Linked DNA regions of Mus musculus: regions 2, 3, 4, 5, 6 and 7 are each reported to be linked to region 1. Evidence: microRNA targets listed by miRTarBase, many of them from high-throughput screens and not tested one by one. Region 1 holds a microRNA gene; each other region holds the end of a gene's coding sequence.

Region 1 (3,082 bases):
GTTTGGCGGGAGTAGCATAGGAGGCCAGGGCACCGAGTACATGTTCGAAGACAGCGGGCCGCTGTAGTTGGAGCGATAAACCCGCGGGTGTCGGCGCGCAGCGCAGTACAGGGGCCACTCCGGGACCCTGCAGGCAGGAGACCGCACGGAACACGCACTCTGGCACCTGCAGGCAGATGTGTGTAAGTGGGCCGTAGTTCCGTGGATCCCGCTAGGCATGCCCCACAGGAGCGCACCCACCTGGCCGTCCCTGAAGCGCGCCTGTAGCGCGCTTCGCGGTGCCAAGAAGTCTCGAACACGAAGGTGCCGGGCATGGGTTTCCTTAAACCACACTGGGCTACCAGGCCCTACAGCTGCATTAAGGGCCTCCAGCGTCTCGCCAACCCCAAGGCGCCCGGTCGCCATGGCGACCGGAAGACTAAATGGAACAGGAAGTAAGTTATCCGTAGAGCTTCCGGGAGGTCCGCCTGGCGGGGGCGGGGATCCGGCCGTGGACTCTCCTGAATGGACCAGAGCGATCGAGCATGCCAAGTGAGCTTACATTCTACCCACGCCTCCAGCTCTCCCTCCCGATGGCCTTTCCTGTATTCATGAGCCCTAACCTCCAAATTTGAGGGTCCATTTTTCCTCCTTTTTAAAAAAATCGTCACCCCGAATTATTACTTTGATAACGGATCTTTGTTACCAGGCAAGACACTTTGCCACCAAAGTTTCACATCTTTGTGTTTATGTCTCTTTTTTCTTTTTCTGCCCCATTTAAACAAATTAAAGGCCAGACGCACGAGACGAAATGTCAAAGGAATAAGGCTGTACCATTAATGACACTTTGTTTTTCAAGACAGGGTTTCACTGTGTAGCCATGGCTGTCCTGGAACTCTTTGTAGACCAGAAAGTCCTTGAACTCAGAAATCCACCTGCCTCTGCCTCCTGAGTACTGGGATTAAAGGTGTGTGCCACCACTCGTGTCTTCCATTAAAGACTCTTTACCGCCTACTTGGAAAAGTAACGAAACAAAGCAAAATTTGAGTTCTGATTATTGGTACGCCTTTCCTCGGCTGCGGTATGGAATGTCTTTATTCCCAGTAAAAGCCCAATCGGATAGAATTGCCCATCTTGATACCCGAGGAATTAGTCATCATGATTCCAGGATTACCAGCCTTTAATGTTTTTCCTTTAAACTGGTGTTACCGGCACCTTTGGTTCTTTAGGCAACTGGTCAGTTTAAGACAAATGTGATGATGAGAAGACCCAAATAAGCAGAGCTCTCAGGTAGAGCAAGCTGCAGGTGAGCTTTTCTATGTCCAAACTCTTTCGTTTCCAAGTAACGTGAAACTCCACTTCCCCCAGTAATGAATGAATCCAACCGGTGAACTTTGCTCCGGAGAGGAGTGACATCTAGAGATAGGAAAAGTTCGGGAAGGCCGGGGCTATGAGGCCCTGTTTGGGAGGTGCCGAAAGAGCACTGGGCGGACACGACATTCCCGATGGCTTCTTGGGTGCCCACTCAACGGGAGTGATCGTGTCATTCCAAAGCACTTTCCATGCTGTGGTGTGGGTTCAGCTGCTAGCAGGGCTGGGACCCACCAGCAAGTTGGTGATTTTAGCTACTCTCCCTCCATGAAGACGGTTGGGGTGGGTTTTCCCCAGGAAGTGAAGATCTATCTTTAGCGAGCTGCGGGCTGGGCGGCCTTGTGGGACTCACCGCCATTGCGGCCCTTCAGAGAGAGGACCCAGGACCTCCCTGGTCAGAGTTCTCCAGGGATTCCAGACAGGGCCATCAGCCCGAGCTTTTTTCGTCGCCTCTGACTGCCACCATCAGTCTGGGGGTGCACCTGAGAGATGGAGATCAGAATGGCCCAGTAGTGTAGTGTTTCTGAGAATAGAGACCACATTATCTGGGCCAGGGCGCTGCTCAGGCAGGAGAGCAGGGAACGAAATCCAAGTGCAGCTGGAATGCTCTGGAGACAACAGCTGCTTTTGGGATTCCGTTGCCCGCTGTCCAGCCATTGGAGGAGGGCTCTTGCTCCCAGGTCACTCGCCCTGAGGCCAAACCGGAACCCGCCCATCCCTTCCCAGTGGGCTGAGTAGGAAGGAGTAGGTGTTTTAAACCAGTCTAGTGAGAATGAGACGCTCACCTGGGCCCCAGAACAATAGAAGGTGGGGGCATCCCCCGGGACGAGGTCCTGATCCGGATTAGATCAGAAGGGCTGGATTAGCCCTGTGAGTCCCAAGCAGGAGCCACTTGTACCGGGCAGGCTTCGGAATCCGTCAAGAGGGAAGCGATTCCGTGAGACCCGAGAGGAAGTAAACCCATGTGTCCACTTCTGGGACTCCCCAAAGCTTAGGACCTTTTGTCTGGTGACGGTGCCAGCTCATGAAGTGCCAGGGGCCAAACTGGCCCACATAGCAGCGGCAGGACAGCCTCCCCCCAAGCCCATTGCAACCGGCCCTGCAAAGAACCCCACAGCCAAGCCCCATTTGTGTCAAGCATCCCACCCGTCTAGTCCAGCGGATAGAGAACGCGACAAAGTTCCTCTGAGGCCAGGACAGAACCGGTGCGCAGAGATGCCCATGCCGCGGGACGCCAAGGACTCATGCGCCAGTAGGCCCTAGACTCAGCTCAAGACAGGGGGAGGGAGACTCTCGGTACGCGCGCGCAGAGCGCGCAAGGGCGGGGTGGTGCTCCAGGCGCGGTCTACTTCACGTCTGGTCCGGTTTGGCCCAGTCAGTCCCACTCGAACAGCTACTCCAGCACTGCCACGGCGTGCCCTTCCGCTGGCTCTAGCTGTCCCCAGACTTGGAGCCATTTTAAGGAGAAACCATCTGGCCACACCCCCTCGCGCTGCCGGGAAGCCAATCCATGCTCGGCCACGCCTCTCATGGAGCGCTGCGCCGTCGCCAACGGTCGCGCTGGTGACGGTTGGGGAAAGCAGCGATTTCGAGACTAGCTAGGGAAATTTTAGCCATCTGCCCCGCCCCCGGAGCCCGATTCTCCAAAGCCTGGGATTAAGGGCCTGGAGGCTGGCACCACACCCTGGCCAGGTGTTCATAACAGGACCAGGTGCGCAGCTGCCCCGCCCTG
Region 2 (3,082 bases), not on the chromosome of region 1:
TTTTCTATATACTATTGAAAGACCAATGTGTGCATTCCCAGAAAACTGCCCATGCGCTATGTACTGAGTGCTCGTTTTGTTCCTTTGGTTGTGATGGGCTCCGATTTGAACCTTGCACACTGTCTGGGCCCTGTGCTTCATCCCTAAACCCACAGGCTTACGTGCTTGGTTGTTTGCATTGTTTGTTTTTAAAACTTTAGAGATAATTTGTCTCTGTAAATGTAACTGCTAAAAGGGCCAAAATCACAGATTTGTACAAAGTGAGGAGAATTCCTTGCGCATGGTTTATTTCCTGCGGAGTTGTTAGGGAGCTAAATGTACCTTCACCAGTGATTCCAGTGCCCTCGTCTGAGATTTGTGAGGACAGTGTTTCTCATTTGGGTATTAAGAAATCTGGGGTTTAAAAAGAAATAGTGACAGTTATGCAAGCCCTCTTAATACTTAAATATTTAAATATAAAACTTTTCTTTTTTACTAGCTTTTGGAGTGTCTAAGGAAAACACTGAGCAAAGTAGCCAATTGCTTCATCGCTGAGGAGTTCTTGACTCAAATAGAAAATCTGTTCCTTTCCAATTACAAAAGCAAGGAAGAGAATGGACTGGCAGAAGAGGATAGTACAAAGGAATTGTTCATGTAATTATTTTAAAGTAAGATGTTCTAATCTTGGCATGCTACTGTAAATAATTGAGATTTTAAAGCAATATAAATTATGTTTTTTTTTTAATCCATAAAACTCTAAACTTTCTCACATAGATAATGTGAGAAGGAAGAGAGAGCCCTTGTTCTCATAGTGGTAATCAAGAGTGGTAGAGCCCTGCCTATGCTAAGCTGTGCAGTGGGCATGAAAGCTTGAGCTCTGCTCTGCCTCGTGGTGTGCGGCTTAATAACTAGGAGATGACCGAGCTCCGCTTTTTCTCAGAGGGACTGTTTCTCACTTTGCCATCTCATTACACACACTTTCTTCCCATATGTTCTGGTGGTGAGATTGTGTGTGTGTGTGTGTGTGTTATTTGGATGTTGCAGCCTAGGTGTGGAACATTAATGGGGTTGAGAACTACTGACTAATAAATCTAACAGCATGCCAACACAGCAAAAGGGAGCATCCTTAGTAATGTTCAGACAGGAGTCCAAAGGGGAGAAGAACCAATTTTCAGTCTGCGGTGTGTGCTTCATCTTACTGTGTACACTATACCATAGGACAGTCAGCCTCCTCTGCGATTTAAATGTTTAAATGAATTTCACAAGGGAAATAATTAGCTCCAACTCTGTCCAATTGCAGTAGCATGTGACAAAATGTCATTGAACTAGACTTGGTAATGTAGCCCTCAACCTAGCTTTTTTCCCTACTGTCAGGAGAAAGAGAAAAATGAGTCACATATTACAATAGAAAAAAAAATGCCATCTGGTATTTTACATAGCTTAACCCAGTTTCATGCACTTGCTGAATATTAAAAGTAAACTTTTTTCATGTTGTAAATTCAAATTGTTCATGTAAGTATTAGTGAATATTTCTGCTTGCTGGAGAACTGGTGTTTGACCCTGTCCAGGCCTTCTTATTGGCAACAGTTTTGTTATATTGAAACTGAATGTGAGTTTAGAGTTTTCTTTTTTCTTTTTTTTTTTTTTTTTTTTTGCTGTAGTTGTAGCCAAAGGGGGAGGCAGCACTGGATGGAGTGACTGCAGTCATAGGTGACCTGAATCTGATTTGGGCACTGTGATTTAAAGAAAAGGCGTTTGCTTTCTCTAGGCCAAGTTTGTCTTATGTAGCTGAGGCTAATCCAGCCCTGAGTGTTGCTCCTACTCTGATTTATCTGCTGGCTTGTTAGGCTGCACTTTTGGAACTTTATAAGATCGTGTAATTGCAAAATTAATGTGTAGCTTTAAAAGAGAACTAGCAGTTTTTCCATTTCCCTCTGTACATTTAATACGAACAATGAAACATACTTTGTAAAATCCTCTTGAAATCTGGAAGTGCAAGGACTCCAGAGCAAAAATCAGGAATCCTGAGCTCTCAACCTAATCTGCTTAAGCTTTGGTAAGGGGCCTCGCTCCACGCTCAGCTCTCTAAACTCATCAGTTGAGATTCAAAGAGCTGAATTCTATCACTTGTTGTCTCTTCAAGCACACAAGGCTACAAAAGTCAGTAGCAATTAATTCATTCCTTTCTGTTTTCCTTCCTCTTCACCTGTCTCTTCATAGGCTGTTGGCACAGACCTGAAATGGATGATAATTTACTTTCTTGCAATTTTCCTAGAATGCTGTTGAATTTTAAAAAGTTCTTTCTCAAATCTGGACTTTACACATGCCAGTGGTTAAGAGTATTCACTACCCTGATCTATACATTGTAAGGACCCAACGGGTGCCAATAGTCAGAGTGTAGGGCCTTGAGAACAGAAGTTTTTAAGCAACTATTGAGAAAATACAACTATTTTCTGACTGTAGAATATATTTGTAATTTATCTTATGAAATATTTTTAAATACAGTGAAATATATACAAAGTGCAAGTATCTCAAACCTACTGTTGAGGAAATATTTTACATAGGAATCAGATTCTTAACCAGTTTTTAACAGCATAAATTCAGGATATTCAGTTATTGTTTGTCTGCTTTTGTTTTCTGTCTGTTCTCTGTGCTGCCTTCTCTTCTCTTGTCCTAGTGTCTACTTGCTCTGGCAGCTGTAGGTGGCCAACCTAGGCCTCCTGAGACTGGTTAGAGCCAAGACCTTAAAGAAGCACAGATGAGTCTGGAACTTGAGGGGACATGTAACACAGAAGTTCATGGAGAGAGAGAGAGAGAGAGAGACAGAGACAGAGACAGAGAGAGACAGACAGAGACCGCCCTTCCCAACAGTGTTTGCAGAAGTGGAGGACCAGCAATGCCTGAGTCTCTTTATCCTGGGTTCTATTTTTATTGGTGCATAAAAATAGAAATTGAGCTTAAATTTTGTCTCTTATTCTGACATGGTTAAGGACACTTAATAATAGTACTTCTCTTATATTAGACTTACTGTTCTTCAAAACTAATACTCAAGAAAGCAAAATCAGTGGAACAAGACCAGTAAGGTAAAACTCGCTGGCCATTG
Region 3 (3,082 bases), not on the chromosome of region 1:
AAAATACTCTGAGAGACAAAAGCAAAGTGGTATAGGAGATAGCACCCCCATGAGACTTGCAAAGATCCCCATACTAGATATCTGACTCTACCATTTACCCAATGTGCTGACATCAACGTTGCTTCACAGTAACAGTCATCTGTGTTGTGTCTCTTTTAGAAACCCTTCACTGAAGCAGCAGCTGTTCTCATATGCTATCCTGGGATTTGCCTTGTCTGAAGCTATGGGTCTCTTTTGTTTGATGGTTGCGTTCTTGATCTTGTTTGCCATGTAACAGAAATTACTGCCTGAAATGTTGGCATTCATAGTAATTACGGATGTAATTCTGTGTATCTTGCTGTGACTCCGAAGACTGTAGTACTGGTGTCATGGAAATATATGTTATTTCCACAGTCATTTCATTAAAGATGAAAACTTTAATTCTTGCTGTGATTTGTACTTATATAAGTGTGGATCATCATAAAGATGATCTGTTGAGGTAGGTGGTTGTCCAAGTCAGAGGAAGGTACAGCAGTTACCCTGGTTTTGAAAAAGTGATGAATATGAAACATTGAAAAACACTTAGTGAAGTAGACCAAGCAAAAGACCCATAGTGTGATTTTGTTTGTATAAAATAGGTAACTTTGTAGAGACTAGGCCAATTAGAAGTTATTGGGAACTCTAGGAGCATGGAACTGTGGGTGACTGACTGTTAGTTGTGGAGTTTCATTTTGGGTGATTGGTGCTTGAACAAGGTTATAAATGCACAAAACCATCTCATTACATGGTTACCATAAACCAGGCATGGTGGCGCACGCCTTTAATCCCAGCACTTGGGAAGCAGAGGCAGGCGGATTTCTGAGTTCGAGGCCAGCCTGGTCTACAAAGTCTACACAGTGAGTTCCAGGACAGCCAGGGCTACATAGAGAAACCCTGTCTCGAAAACCAAAAATAAGAAAAAAAAGAAAGAAAACCAGTAGGTGAGTTTCCTACTGTTATGAGTAAGCATACAGAGATGTTTGGAAGGGCTGGGAGTCATTTTCCAGGGAAGAGATCACTTGAGAACACTGCTTGTCTCCACCTTATGCTAAACCTTGAGTAGCAAGAGGACCACCTAGTGAGTGGCTCAACTGCAGACTTAAAAACAGAAGAGCACTGGCACATGAAACATTGCCAGGAAACAGTGTGAGCTACAGGTGAAAGGTAGGCTGGCACACAAATGCACAAATTAGCAGATAAATGAGTTTTATCATGTGATCACAGACAGCGGGGCATGGTGGCCCACGCCTTTAATCCCAGCACTTGGGAGGCAGAGGCAAGCGGATTTCTGAGCTCGAGGCCAGCCTGGTCTACAAAGTGAGTTCTAGGACAGCTAGGGCTAGAGAAACCCTGTCTCGAAAAAACAAAAACAAAACCCCTTGGAGCTATGTTTAGAATTATTTAAGGAGACCAAGGTGGTCTGGTGCTTGTGCGTGTCTTTAGTCTGGGAGGGAGAGGCCTCTGGATCTCTGAGTTGAAGGCCAGCTTAGTTTAGAGTTCCAGAATGGTCAGAAAAAGACCAGTGTGGAATGGCTTGAAGTCAGCAGTACCAGTGGCTACCACAGCAGATCTTCTAGTGATAAATAGGATGTTGTGTGGCAAGAAATTTCCTGGGGAAATGGCAGGTAAGGGACCCATGGCAAAACAAGTATGGATACTACCAAACCCTAAGTTGAACCAATGAGTTTTATTGGGATTATTTACACGTATATGAGTGAGGGGTTACTGTAGCAGAGATGTCTCAAAGGCAGCCGCATCACCAAAGCCCACTCTGGCACCCATGACAGCTCACAAATCTAGAAACCTAGAGCACACTGCAGCTTGTGAGTTTACCTTCATGCTTAAGAAACTTCCCTACAGGATGGAATGTTGCAGTCCCCAAGGAAACTGTTAGACACAGAGGCCTTAGTCTAGGATGGTGGCCACGATAATTATAAAGGAACTTCACAGGACTGGAGAGATGGCTTTGTGGATGAGAGCACTTACTACTGTTGCAGAGGACTGGAGCACTATTCCCAGCCTCAGTTGGGTGCTCACAACCATCTGTAGCTCTAGCTCCAGGAGATTTGAGTCCTCTTCTGACTTTTGCCCACACCAGGCACACATGTGGTGCACATATACACACAGGCAAAAGTACATACACATAAGATTAATTTTTTTTTTCACTTGGGTGACTTTATTTATTATATGTAAGTACACTGTAGCTGTCCTCACACACTCCAGAAGAGGGAATCAGATTTCATTACTGATGGTTGTGAGCCACCATGTGGTTGCTGGGATTTGAACTCAGGACCTTCAGAAGAGCAGTCAGTGCTCTTAACCTCTGAGCCATCTCTCCAGCCCAGCCATCTCTCCAGCCCTAATTTTTTTTAATTTTAAAAATAATTCTTAAAAAGAAAATTTCAGGGCTGGAGAGATGACTCAGCGGTTAAGAGCACTGACTGCTCTTCTGAAGGACCTGAGTTCAATTCCCAGCAACCACATGGTGGCTCCCAACCATCCATAATGGGGTCTGGTGCCCTCTTCTGGTGTGTCTGAAGAGAGCAATGGTGGTGTACTCATGCATAAAATAAATGAATAAATCTTAAAAAGGAAAAGAAAGGAAGAAAGAAAAAAAAAAAAAAAAGAAAGGAAGGAAGGAAGAAAGAAAGAGAGAAAAGAAAGGAATCTCTAAAAGTATTGGGACCTGCCTAGATCTCTAGGGCCAGTCAGAAAAGACAAGGGTGTCTATTCCCTACTACTCCTGAGAAGAAAGGCTTCACACATATACTGTCAATACTCAAAACAAGCCTGCAAAATTAGGAAAAATCAGTTCATTTCCCAAATTATTTGGCCATTGTTTGGTAGTACCCAGATCTGAGTTCATAACTCCCTGGGTTTCAGAACCCATGCTAGGGTTTTCAATATGATTATGTCCAGGATGCCAAAGAGAAATTAATTTGGGGAAATAAAGAATTTTGATTTTTGTATAATTTTAAATATGAGAATCTTAGAAGTAGACTTGGTCCTGTATAGAGAGGACCAATGCAGTGTGCCTAAAAGCTGTGAATACAAGGTCAGAGTG
Region 4 (3,082 bases), not on the chromosome of region 1:
AACAAAAAATAGGTTAGATGTATAGACAAGAACTGGTATGAAGCAAATCTTTGAATATGGCAGCAATTAAAAGATACTGTGATGTTAATATTGAGTGCAAACTTGGCAGGTTCTGAGATCACCTAGGAGATAAATCTCTGAGCATGTCTTAGATGGGGCAAACTGGGGCAGAAATACCTACCCTTAAATATGAACAGCATTATTCCACTGGCTGAGGTTCTAGACTGAATAAAAAGGAGAAAATGAGCTGAGAACAGCACCAGCCCCTCTCCTTCTCTGCCCCCCTTCTTTTGATTCATGAATGTGAAAGCACTATGATCAGTCACCTTATGATCCTGCTACCCATGACTGTGTCCCTTTGAACTGTGAACCAAATCAACCACTTCTGCAAAAAGGGGTTTTGCTCAGGTATTTCTATCAAGGTAAATAAAACAAATCAAAACCAATACAGCTATCAAGGTAATTCATACCAGTTTTAAACTAAGACCCTCATGGTCTAGGAGGAAAATGAGAACACTTTCATACCAGTCGCAACTAATAATAGTGTTGGCAGTTGAATGAATGGAGACTCAAGAGAGAGTAAGATATAAAGAATGATTCCTGTACCTGAGGATGTAGGCTTTGTTTTCTGAGGAAGATAACACAGATGAATGAAATTTGGAGGGAGAAGATGACAAACTGAATCTGGTCTTGCATATAATAAATTTTACGGTATAGTATCACATTGGAAATTGATATTAGGACAGTAGAATGTTTGTCAGATCTCAGGAAAGAAAAAAACTGGGTGAAGAGTTAATATTTTATCAGGATTTCTGACTCAGGTAGCATGAGAGGCTTAAGTTCCAGAATCCTGAAACGATTGATATTTAGTTGATTTATTTCCTATCCCTAGTCCCTGGCAAAAGCTGAACACAATGTCTTTATTTTTTAAGTATATATATATATATATATATATATATATATATATATATATATACACACACATATGATATGCACACAGCTGACACAGAAATATTTTATTATTCATTTTATTTTCATATAAATTAACATCCTAAAAAATTGAAATAGAAACACTAAATACAGTATTGCACATAGCGATCTTTGTTAAATGCCCTATTACTTCATTGAAGAGTGGTATGTACACATTGGCAGGACTGTGGGACAGGAAAGCTACAAAACACCAGCAGAAGAAAATAAAACACTACTGTTTCTTTGCACTCAAAATACAAAGTAAAAGGCAAGAGATCATACTTTACATAAATACAAGTATAGCTATGATTTAGAACATTATTTTTAAGTTGCTGTCTGTAACTGGTTTGCAATAGCAATAATTTTTCCCCTTTTCTAAAACCATAACTCTCAACAAATATTATTAGCAGCAATTGAAAAGAACAACTATTAATGTTATATAAAACCATCTTAATCAATTGTGATCTGGCTTAAATAGGTTTGAAAGAATAGGAAATTTACCAATCTTTTCCTGACAGAGTGAATAAATTCCCTCCCTAGGGCCCTTTAGATGAGAAACGAATACATCATCCTCACATCATAGTGGTAGATCACCTGCTGTAACACATGATCACAACCCAGGCATGTCAAAATATGCAGACAGGTATTTTACTTAACACGGTCCTGATAAATCTGATCCATCTATTTTTTTTCTATTTTTTTTTTACAATAAGTGGTTGTCAAAAAATAAATTTGTCATGAACTTTACTTACTCAAATTTCTTGAAAATATTAAGTGAAGCTTGTGTATGTGTGTGAGAAAGAATGTATGTGTATGTGTATCGGTCCATGAGTGAGAAACTATGTGTGTGTGTGTGTAAGAGAGAGAATTGTGTGTATGTGTATGTGTGTGTGTGAGAGAGAGAGGGGGGTGGTTATTGCAGTGTTAGACATAGAGAAACATCCCATGATTTCTTTTACCTCTGCTGCAGACCAGTTTTTCATAGGGCTTCAAGGGAAATATCATAGAGAGCAACTTAAGCATGGGAGAGGTATGAATCATGACATATTGATGGTATTTACTTCTCAAATAGACACTGTATAAGCAGAAGTCAAGTAGATACAAAGAATTCACTAGGAACGAAGTTTACCCACAAGTCTAACCACATCGATGTGGAGTTCTGGTTGTCAGTAAAAAGGAAAATATTTTTGTTGCAACAAGAGAGAAACCATAGGCTAGGGCTCATCATGTTCAGAATTTATGCAGATAGTGCCTCTTAGACGTGCCACTTGGGTCTGTTGGTATAACACCACAATGTTTACAAAAAGGAAAGGTGTTCAATCTCCACAGGTCTACTGCTTTTGCCATTTTAAAGGCACATACAATAAATTTCAACAATCAACAAACTGCCTAGAAAACATGAAGATTATGCAAGAGGTTCAGAGGAAAAGGTCTAGGAGGATGGAGCTTCCTTCCCTCCTTCATGTCAGGTGGATGCTGCGCAAGTTGTTTCAATGTCTTGTTTTCTTCTGCTGTTCTGGTCACAGATCACGTTTTCATGCTTATCTTCGCTTTCTAAAAACAAAAACAAAAACATACACATGCAAAGGCATGAATACAGAATCAAAACCAGTGGATTGATTTCTTGGTTGAAATGTTTAAATTCTCTATCTCATAGCAGCATAATAAGTATTAGCTGATAATCATTCCTCTTATTCAATATGGCTTTATTAACCTTTTATCAGAAAGCAGCATCAGAAATTTACCATCAGATAAGGCTGATTTTGATACAGAAAAGCTGATGGGAAAATAAATTTTATCTGAGGATAGAGATATTTTCTAATCAGGGCTACTTAACCCTAAGGCAGTTTGAGTCATCTGTACTGTCTATTTTATCTAGACTATGTTATACTAAATCCAATTCACGGGGCTTCTTTTAGGCTGGAGAGATGGCTCAGCAGTTAAGTCATGCACTGTTTTTGTAGAGACCCAGAGTTCAGTTCCCAGAACCTATGTGAAGTCATTCACAAACTTTGAGACTCCAGTTCCAGAGGATCCAAAGCCCTCTCCTCACCTCTTCAGGTATCTGCATCCACAAATTCATACAGATCCATAAATACAATTTGAGTCAAAG
Region 5 (3,082 bases), not on the chromosome of region 1:
ATTACTTGGCAATTTAGGTTGATTTTTTTACGGTTTTTCGACTGCTAAGTTGAGAAGCTAAAGGGTGAAGTAAGGAAGGTGGGAAGGACTTGAGAAGGGAGGGAGAAAAAAATGCTGCTTTCATCCAGCAAGAGAGGGGAGAGGCTGGGAAATCAAGTGGATGCAATGCCTGCTCCCCACACATCTTTCTTTCCTGTGGTCCCCTGCCTCCTTAGCTCTGTCCTCCCTCACTGCCCCTGCTCTGGTCTGTGTGTGTGTGTGTGTGTGTGTGTGTGTGTGTGTGTGTGTGTGTGTGTGTGTGAGAGAGAGAGAGAGAGAGAGAGAGAGAGAGAGAGAGAAGAGAAGAGAGAAGAGAGTATTGATTTAACTAATACTGTATAGTGTATGATTGTCTAATGTGTTTCTATAAATCAAAAATGAATACATTATAAAAAAACTTTTTGTTATTATTATAGAGGGCCTTTAGAGGTAGAAATTTCCTGCCATTTGTTCAAAGAAGTCCAAAAAAAATCTTAATTTGTTTTTTAAGGTATGAGCAACCCTGCATTAACTATGGAGAACGAGACTTAGTTCTACAATCAAAATAAAACCACTCTTGTAAAGTAAGATGTTTTGATTTTATTGTTACACTTTATTTTTAACAGCTTCCTAGTCTCAAAGAGTTAATAGTTTCCATGAGCAGTATTTATTTTGAATGGCTTGGAAGGTATCTTACATGACCAACGGGATTCCACGAGTCATGTTGGACATGGATTATGGACCTAGCTTCAGTATCAGCCAGCATTTATGCTAACTTGGCAAGCTATAAAAATTAGTTGATGGCCGGGCGTGGTGGCACACGCCTTTAATCCCAGCACTCGGGAGGCAGAGGCAGGCGGATTTCTGAGTTCGAGGCCAGCCTGGTCTACAAAGTGAGTTCCAGGACAGCCAGGGCTACACAGAGAAACCCTGTCTCGAAAAACCAAAAAAAAAAAAAAAATTAGTTCATGGAAACGTGACAGGGATGGATCCTAAAACAAGCACTGTCTTACATTTTGCAGGATCCCAGAATTAACCTTTCCTCTCACTGAGGGTATTGTCTGAGGGTACTGTCATCATATCTTTGACCATCTATTAGCTGATTCTTACTTGGTCTAAGTACTAGATGACTAAGTCTTGTCAGCACAAGCTTCATCATCCCCATTTTGGGTCACTCACTGTTGGAACTCATCGTTGGTCTTCTTTAATAGTTGTTCCTGTTCGTTTTCTTTAAATTATAGTAACAAGTAAACTTGTGCTTTCCAATAAGATTCCTTAAATCCTATCTTGTTTATAAACCTGTAGTTAGCACAAAGGGATAATAAAGAGTGCCTTTGAAATAAACACCTGTGCATCTAGAGAAAAGCCAGCTCTCTCCCTATATGTGCAACATTAGAATAGATACAATATATCCATATATGGTATGCATGCCTGTAATCCTGGCAGTCAGTAAGTAAAAGAGAAAAGATTGCTGCAAGGTCATGGCCAAGCTAGTCTGTATAAGGAGTTCTAGGCCAGCCGAGGCTACATGGAAAGATCCTATCTTCAAAGCATGTAAACAAAGAACAAGCTCATTATAGCCAAGTTACACATTAAAAATTATAAACACAACTTTTTATTTTAAAAACTGCATTCTAAAAATCCTCCATTTTTAGAGAGACATGGGATTGCTGTCCAAAATAAAATAATTTGTATCAACATGAATATTGAATGTTTTAAAATTTTTCTTTGCTTGGTTTTGATGAATAACAATGTAAATAAGGGTAAAATACAGAAGGGTGTAGAGGCCTGTTCATTTAATCCCAAAATCTCAGGAGCAGAGCCAGGTAGAGCTTTGTGGAGTCAAGGCCAGCCTGTGCTAAGTAGTGATCTCCACGTCGTTCAGAGCTGCATAATGAGACTCTGTCTGGGGGGGGGGGGCAGGGGGGGAGTGAATACAAATTAAATTATAAGCTGCTAGTTGATAGTGTTTTGGCTTTTGGAAGCCATGATCGCTTCTGAATATATGATAGTACAATAGATCACACTAATTATAGCTATAGTTAGGAAGGTGAAAATGGAATATTCTGAATCATACTAAATTCCAAGTAGGTATTACTTAATTTCAAGAAAAGATCCTAAGAATGGACCTGTGAGTGGAAAAATATGAAGTACTAGTTAATACTGCAAAAAATTTATATATTTTATAGGTCTGGAGAGATGGCTCAGTGATGAAGAGCACTGACTGCTCTTCCAGAGGTCCTAAGTTCAATTTCCAGCAAGCATGTGGTAGCTCACAACCATCTATAATGGGATCTGTAGCCCTCTTCCGGTGTGTCAGAATACACAGCTACACTGTGCTCAGATACATAAAATAAATAATCTAAAAATAATAATAATTTAGAGAACATAGTTGTGTAAGACATGGGGTCCTCCAGATTTGTTTTCAGTATTTCAAACCATTGGTTACAATTACCATCATTTAAGTGGCCATTTTTAGTACAGAATTTTCTCTATATTTATAAATAGTCCACTTGTTTAAATGACAACGCTGTTTCTAAGTCTCCTTTGTATTCTAATATTCTGACACTGACCAGTGCCAAACACATTTCACAGAGGCAGCATTTGTAGGATCTCAATATTTGATAGAGTCGTAACTGAGCAATTAAAATTAAAAACCAACAGAAGCTTGATTCTATGACCTTTGAACATATAAAGTTGGTATTTATAGCCAAATCACAGCAAAATCAACTGCACACACCTTTAAAAAACAAAAACAAAAACAAAACAAACAAAAAACCACCAAGTAATTTTCTACGTGTTTCTCATTTAAGTAACAACCATTGCCAGAAAAGTTTTTAAATTAAATTTCAGTCCTCTGCACCAGTTCTTTGAGGAAGGCAGCCAAGCAATGGAGTATGGAGTCAAGAGCAAGGTCAAAGGTTACCTTTAGCAATTCTTCTGTCTAGAACTCTTTGCTATTCTAAATCCAAAAGCCATTGGCTTCTGTTAACTAGCTTCTGCTGCTCAGGAGCAGGGAATAAAGAAGGGGAATTAGCTTATTCAGGCTCTCCTTCAACTCAGA
Region 6 (3,082 bases), not on the chromosome of region 1:
TCTGTCTTCTCACCCTGCAGCAGAGCCTCCTGACCATGGAGGAGATCCAGTCAGTGGAAGAGACACAGATCAAGGAACGCAAGTGTCTCCTGCTTAAGATCCGAGGTGGCAAGCAGTTTGTCCTGCAGTGTGATGTAAGTGGGGGTGAGGGGATGAGGTTAGGGTACAGGTGGGGGGTGGGTGCCTGACCAGCAGAGGCTGACAGAGCCTGGATGTTTACAGAGTGATCCAGAGCTGGTGCAATGGAAAAAGGAGCTGCGTGATGCCTACCGCGAGGCCCAGCAGCTGGTACAGCGAGTACCCAAGATGAAGAACAAGCCACGCTCGCCTGTGGTGGAGCTGAGCAAGGTGCCGCTGATCCAGCGTGGCAGTGCCAACGGCCTCTGATCCACCCATGTGCTGCCCGCCTGCCCACCCGCCTTTTATAAACCTCTAATTTATTTTGTTGAATTTTTATTATTTGTTTTCCCGCAAAGCGGAAAATGTTTTATTTTGTAATTATTGTGATCTCCTGTGGCCCCAGCCTGGCCCAGCCCCCAGGGAGGGGCCCGCTTGCCTCAGCTCCTGCTGCCACCAACCCAGCCACTGTCTAGCACCCCTCCCCTGTCCCCACTCCCACCCCCTAGGGTCCTTGCTCCCAGTATCTTCCTACAGGGAAGAAGAGCAACCCTCAGCAGCCCTCTTGCCCCTCCATGGGGTGAAGCCACACTCAGTGGGTGTGTCACTTCAGGCTCTGTGGGCTGTGCTCAGTCTGTGGCCCAGCACCCCTGCCCTAGAAAGGGGCAACACAGGGTACTACTTGAACTTTCCTATCACAGCTCCCATGCCACAGAGGGACAGACCCCTGCTGTCCTGCCCTCTTGCCACTGGTGAGAGAAGGCCCTTGTCTCCTCAGACTAGGAGGTCTCCCACAGTGACAGCTCCTGGGTCCTTGTTCAGGAAAAGCCTGTGTGTTACCACTGCCTCATCAGGAGGCTGCCATTGGCAGTGGCTGCTGCTGGCCTCCCTGCAAGTCCCCTCTTCTTCCTGTTGCGTGCCTGGACTCAGGAGCATAGAAAAGACAATTGTGGATTGGGCCACACTGGCCTAGCCTGAACCTAGATCCCTAACCCTGGGCTGGGTGAGGCTCACCTGCCCAGGACCACAGTGGGACAGCCTGGGCAGGTGGGTGGCACAGCATAAGAACCCAGCTGGGGCCAGCCCTCCCTGTCCTGGCTGGTCAGTGTGCCCCCACCCACACTGTCCAGCCCCTTAGCCCATGTCATGTCAGTGGCCACTGCCCACAGGTGCCACCTTGCCCACCGCATGACCCCTTGTGCCAGTCGCGCAGCTGTGTGTGGTGTCGCGCCCTCTCCCCTTGGGGGCTGGGTGGGCACACCCTCCCCTCTTGTCTACTCACTCCTAGGGCGTTTCTTTGCCGATTTTTGAATGTGATTTTAAAGAGTGGAAAATGAGACTATGCGTTTTTATAAAAAATGGTGCCTGACTCCTCGCTGTCTCAGACTCTTTGTGCCTGGTGACTATTTTTCAGTCACTTCAGTCTGGGGCCTGAAAGGGGAGGAGCTTAGTAACCCGTCCTCCCCTCCCTGGTGGAGTAATTATTCCGCTCGCCTCCCACATAAGCAGGAGTAGCCGTAGTAGTTCTCGTCAGCTGTCATGGTTGGAATGGCTGGGGGTATACTGGTTTCAGCAAGTTGCCCCTGCACGTCAAGCACTGTGTTAATCCCCACTCCTCTCGGCACACATCTGTTTTCTCTTCCACACTGCATCTCTTGAGCCTTTGGCTGTGTCTGGCTGGCACTGGCCTCACTGTGTAAGCTCTCCTGGCCTCTGGCTTGAGCATCAGCATCAAGCCTGTGCTCCCAGGAATGACCTTCCTCTTCCTGTGCCCCTGCTCCAGGCCTGGCCAGAGACAGCCTGTGAGCACCACTGCCCTTCCTGTTCAGTGCACAGAGGAGGAGAGAATTCTGGGGCAGATGCTGTGAGGTCTTGGATGAAATGGCATTTGAGCTGTACCTCCAGCATTAGTGTAGTCATTCGTAGAGATGCTTCTAAGATCAGGAATGGTCAAGCACTTAAGACAGCAAACTGCAATGGAAGGAACCAGGCCTTGGGGCCCTGAAAGGCCAGCCTTAACTTAGCACAGTCCCAGATCACTCAGTGACTGCATCCTGGAGCGTTGAACAGACCGGGGGCTGAACTTGCTTGGCTCTGGGTGGTTAGCAGATGTTAGCCTCAGACTCACTGTGTAGCTAAGGATGGCCTTGAACTCCTCGCCCTTCTGCCCCCACTTCCCAAGTGCTGGAATTACAGGGGTTTGCTACCATGTCTAGCTAGGTCTCAAGTTTTAGGGCAGGCTGCAGTCATTAGAACTGGCTCTAAAACAAATAGCTGGTCACTGCAAGAAGTGGGGAGATAGGACCATTGCTTCTGTCCAGGAAAGATGTTCTTGTAATTGGTGATTGTGAAGGAAGAGGTGAAAGACGCCAGAGAGGAAAAAATGGAACAGTGTAGTAAGCCAGGCCACACTGAGGGAGCGTGTGAGGGAGGCCATGTTGTTGGTCAAGAGGTAAGGTGGAGCTGAACATGGCAGAGCACACATTTAATCCCAGCACTTTTGTGAGTTTGGGTCTAGTCTGGTCCTCAGAGAGAGAGTTCCTGGACAGTCTGGGCTAGTTAGTGAGACCCTGTCTCAAAAGACAAAACAACAAAAAAGAGGTGATGATAGCTCAGAGCACAGCTGGCCTGGAAGGAAGAGAGAAAGGCGTTTGGACTTGGCTTCTGACACCCTAATATGGCAGCATGGAATACCTAAGACCAGAGGTGTCCTGGAAGTGATATCAGATGGGAGTGGACAAGCTGTCAGCTAGGAGAGGGAGGTCCATGTGGAAAGAAGGGTCGATGTCAGAGCAGTAAAGACTGGCGGAGAGATGCTCAAGACTGCAGCAAGTCCTAGGCCGTCCAGGGCCAGGGTGACGATGCTGAGGAGGAAGTCTCTGACAGAAGCAGAGACCAGCAGGACCTAACTGCAGAGCTCTGGACCTTTAGAAGCTCAGGGCCTTGAGTTCCTCCCAAAGTCCAG
Region 7 (3,082 bases), not on the chromosome of region 1:
TAAGAAGGAAGTATTTCTTTTTAATGACATTTTTAGGTCAATGTCAGTATTAATATAACAAAGGCCTGAGATTTCACACAAACCGAAGTCACCTCCTTCATATGTCCTCTAAGTGAACTGTGACCACATGAGGAAAGTCAGTTTGGGCATTGCTCGGTTTTTATTCATAACTCTTGTGTATCTATAAAGATAAACCCATGGAAAAGGGGTCCACATTTGCCAAAGAAGAGCGACTATGTCCATTCTGTGTATCTCGTTCCATTTAACTTTCAAGTCCGACATGGCATTTCCATGGTTTGTCTTATTCCACTTTTTGCAGGGAAGAGGGCTTAAGATATATGAAAATTAAATTGAAATTATGCATCCATGAGCTGATGGCATAATTACCAAGTCAAATAAAGATACTGATGATGCTGAAACTCAGTAAAAAGAGACTGATACTGAATATAAACAATATCTAAAAGTTCCACATCTAAGGATCTAAAACATCAGACACATTCCATGGACACAGATTTACAAGTCAGTTCTAACGCTAGGAAAAGCCAAACACTGTTTAAATAGACCTCAGACTGCAGTAGTGGAGAGATTATTACTAACGCTGACAAAGGAACACAGCTGTAGGACTGAGCATGTCACACATGAGCAAAGGTCTAGGCACAAGACATGTGGGACAAGAGTCACCCCCAAGAGGACTTTATGATGTAACAGGAAAAGTTAGCACCATCATGAAGACTGAAGAAAGAATCACAGGAGCTCCTATGCACAGGAGGCGAGCCCTGAAGAAGGGTTATCAAGTATAGAAAAGACTTCTGGATGGTCTCAGAGGCAGAGTAAGACATGGGGAACAGCTGAGGTTTGCCCTGGACATTGTTGGCACCATTAATCAAAACTACTCAGGAAGAAAAGGCAAGTAGGATATGCTTTCATTTAGGGGAGAGGACCGAGTCAGCTGAAAGCTATGCAATTGGGATCGGACGTGAAATGCAGGACTAGGGATGGGATGCCCAATGAGCAAGAGCTGAGGACAGCAGCACAGTGTGCATGTGCAACAGACCTAAACCATGCCCTCACATGGCAGGAGAGAGCACCACTGAGGGATGGAGCACTGTTAGGGAGAGACTAGAAACGGAGCGAAAGGAAGGTGACGTGTCAGAGAGCAAAAACATTCAATGCGGGACCCAGAAGACTATGGCCGTTTCCTGTAAAGTGAGGCGCAAAGCTGACTGAAAGGTGACACAGGGTGAGGGTGAGGATGATGAAATTCATCAAGGCTGGCAAAAAAGAAGGCTGGAGAAACTGGCTTGAACATAGGAAGGTACGTGATCGTCTTTACAGACCAGAAAAATAAACCTGCATACGATTCTTTGCATAATTTTGTACTGATAAGCCCAGTTATTTTCACCTTAAAATATATTCTAAAATTAAAATTAACACAATGTTAAAGTATATACATTTTATAACTTAATACAAACATAAAAGCATTACCATTTTATGACAAATTTTATTTCTAAAGATCTATACAGTTTTTGTGACTATACTTCAGGATGATTTTTTTGCCTCTAATACCATGAGATATTAAATATTATTAACAATTTCTGCTTTAGTTCCAGAGTGATTGCTGTGATATAAAAGATTACATTGAGTATGTATACCTTCATCTTTAGCCCTCCTTCCCCACAGACAAAGTGTCTTCAGGGGAGCTAATATTCTGGACACCATTTTTCAAGAGAAAAGTTTAAAATAGTATTCTATTATTATGTTCTTAATGGTCTAAATTATTCTTCACAATAAACATGCTTGTTTTTTATTATATACACATGCATACATATGAAATTCTTGCCTAAAATACATGCATCCACCATCACAAACAATGATTAACCCTCCTTACAATTCTAAGAATGCCCCGTTAGTAAGGCACTCGTGTTTAGAAGCAGGACGTAACTACCAAATTAAATAAGATGTTTAAAGAAGATTTTTATTAAGCACAAACAACTTTTAATACATTATGAATACAATAGGAAAATGTCTTTCAATGAATATGATATATCAAAGATCTGAAGGGTTTTCTTCATATAGACATTAAAAATAATCAATTTTGAAGAATTACAAAGTAAAATTTTGAGGACACCACTATTCACTAACAGTCTAACTATGGTCTAAATATCCTACATCACCTGGGGAGGAAGGGCAGCCATGTTTTATAGAGAATTCCTAAACTCTGATTAGCACCATTCAAAGCTTAGTATTGGTTGTTTGGCTACAAACTGACAAGTCAGGTACGGCGTGAAAGCGAGGACTCAGTGCGGTGGTTACAATTCCTTCTCTTAGGATACCAGGAGTCTACAGTCTCAAAGCATGTTGTGACTATGCCTTGGTGGTGGAGAAATGTTAGCATTTAGAGAGAGACACGTGTCGTGGGAAGAAAGGAGGCTTATCCCGCTGTGAAATGCATCTTAACGAGCTGTGGCTAACCCCAGAGAATGCCAGCAGCAAAGAATGTGGGCGTATGACCTGCAGATCTGCGGGAGCTGGGGACATTAGCTCTCCGTGGTCACCAATTCGGGATGTCTCAGCTGCTGCCTTTTGAGACTGACCAGTTTCATTCTGTCCCTGATGTGCTCTGCAGTAGAAGCCATGTCACTTGGACTTCCAAAATATTGTTCAGTTCTAAAATTAGAACACACAGAAATCACACAGGTTAATCCAAATTCATTTAACTGTACCAGGTGCATAAAAGCAGATGTTATAAAATATGACATGACCTTTGAGTTCAAACTAGTTCATCTGGGGCACAGTGACTTGTACCTATAAACCCGTTCTGCTGGGGTTGCTCTTTTGCTGCCGGTAAATCATATGACACTAAGCTACTTTGACAGTTCAAATCCAGGTATCCCTAGAGATTTTCTCAGTGTAGACTATGAATGATATTCTTCCAAGGGAATAAAGTGGTAATTTTTTTTTCAATATGAATTCTAAATACTCACTGGAAGTTCATGACATAGCAGTATGTCCCTTGTGTCTCATTTAAGTTCTGTCTATCTGTTTGGCTCTAGGAAGCCCCCACTGCTGTAACCTGAAAAAC

What was found. The annotated mature microRNA mmu-miR-425-5p reads AAUGACACGAUCACUCCCGUUGA and lies in region 1 at 1,505-1,527, opposite strand. An mRNA with a match to its seed (bases 2 to 7 or 8) in the 3' UTR can be bound and repressed. Matches are read on the target gene's strand: a 7mer-m8 pairs with bases 2 to 8, a 7mer-A1 pairs with bases 2 to 7 and ends in A, and an 8mer does both.
Region 2: miRTarBase lists Mysm1 as a target of mmu-miR-425-5p. The part of its 3' UTR that is shown has no 7-base or 8-base seed match.
Region 3: the mRNA of Atp5g3 is a reported target of mmu-miR-425-5p. Seed matches in the 3' UTR shown: 7mer-m8 at 364-370.
Region 4: miRTarBase lists Fmn2 as a target of mmu-miR-425-5p. The part of its 3' UTR that is shown has no 7-base or 8-base seed match.
Region 5: miRTarBase lists Zdhhc2 as a target of mmu-miR-425-5p. The part of its 3' UTR that is shown has no 7-base or 8-base seed match.
Region 6: the mRNA of Grk2 is a reported target of mmu-miR-425-5p. The part of its 3' UTR that is shown has no 7-base or 8-base seed match.
Region 7: miRTarBase lists Sestd1 as a target of mmu-miR-425-5p. Seed matches in the 3' UTR shown: 7mer-A1 at 1,491-1,497.

Annotation. Positions count from the first base shown.
Region 1 is chr9:108,567,234-108,570,315 of GRCm38, reverse strand. Mir425 (microRNA 425) reads right to left here and starts at 1,539; the gene lies at 1,455-1,539. It overlaps Ndufaf3 (NADH:ubiquinone oxidoreductase complex assembly factor 3), which reads left to right and starts at 2,880. Exons shown (of 5, transcript NM_023247.2): 1 at 2,880-3,082. Dalrd3 (DALR anticodon binding domain containing 3) reads right to left here and starts at 424. Exons shown (of 12, transcript NM_026378.3): 1 at 241-424; 2 at 1-166. The coding sequence starts at 405. Mir191 (microRNA 191) reads right to left here and starts at 1,997; the gene lies at 1,924-1,997.
Region 2 is chr4:94,944,520-94,947,601 of GRCm38, reverse strand. It overlaps Mysm1 (myb-like, SWIRM and MPN domains 1), which reads left to right. Exons shown (of 20, transcript NM_177239.3): 20 at 479-3,082. The coding sequence ends at 637. Among named protein-coding and RNA genes, the nearest start is that of Eqtn, 17 kb to the right of the region's middle.
Region 3 is chr2:73,905,785-73,908,866 of GRCm38, reverse strand. It overlaps Atp5g3 (ATP synthase, H+ transporting, mitochondrial F0 complex, subunit C3 (subunit 9)), which reads left to right. Exons shown (of 5, transcript NM_175015.3): 5 at 160-420. The coding sequence ends at 274. Among named protein-coding and RNA genes, the nearest start is that of Atp5g3, 4.0 kb to the left of the region's middle.
Region 4 is chr1:174,820,660-174,823,741 of GRCm38, reverse strand. It overlaps Fmn2 (formin 2), which reads right to left. Exons shown (of 18, transcript NM_019445.2): 18 at 1,013-2,523. The coding sequence ends at 2,497. Among named protein-coding and RNA genes, the nearest start is that of Gm51689, 65 kb to the right of the region's middle.
Region 5 is chr8:40,474,206-40,477,287 of GRCm38, forward strand. It overlaps Zdhhc2 (zinc finger, DHHC domain containing 2), which reads left to right. Exons shown (of 13, transcript NM_178395.4): 12 at 530-602. The coding sequence ends at 570. Among named protein-coding and RNA genes, the nearest start is that of Cnot7, 36 kb to the right of the region's middle.
Region 6 is chr19:4,284,405-4,287,486 of GRCm38, reverse strand. Grk2 (G protein-coupled receptor kinase 2) reads left to right here. Exons shown (of 21, transcript NM_001290818.1): 20 at 21-134; 21 at 223-1,488. The coding sequence ends at 387. Among named protein-coding and RNA genes, the nearest start is that of Ankrd13d, 2.8 kb to the right of the region's middle.
Region 7 is chr2:77,184,594-77,187,675 of GRCm38, forward strand. Sestd1 (SEC14 and spectrin domains 1) reads right to left here. Exons shown (of 18, transcript NM_175465.6): 18 at 1-2,667. The coding sequence ends at 2,538. Among named protein-coding and RNA genes, the nearest start is that of Ccdc141, 16 kb to the left of the region's middle.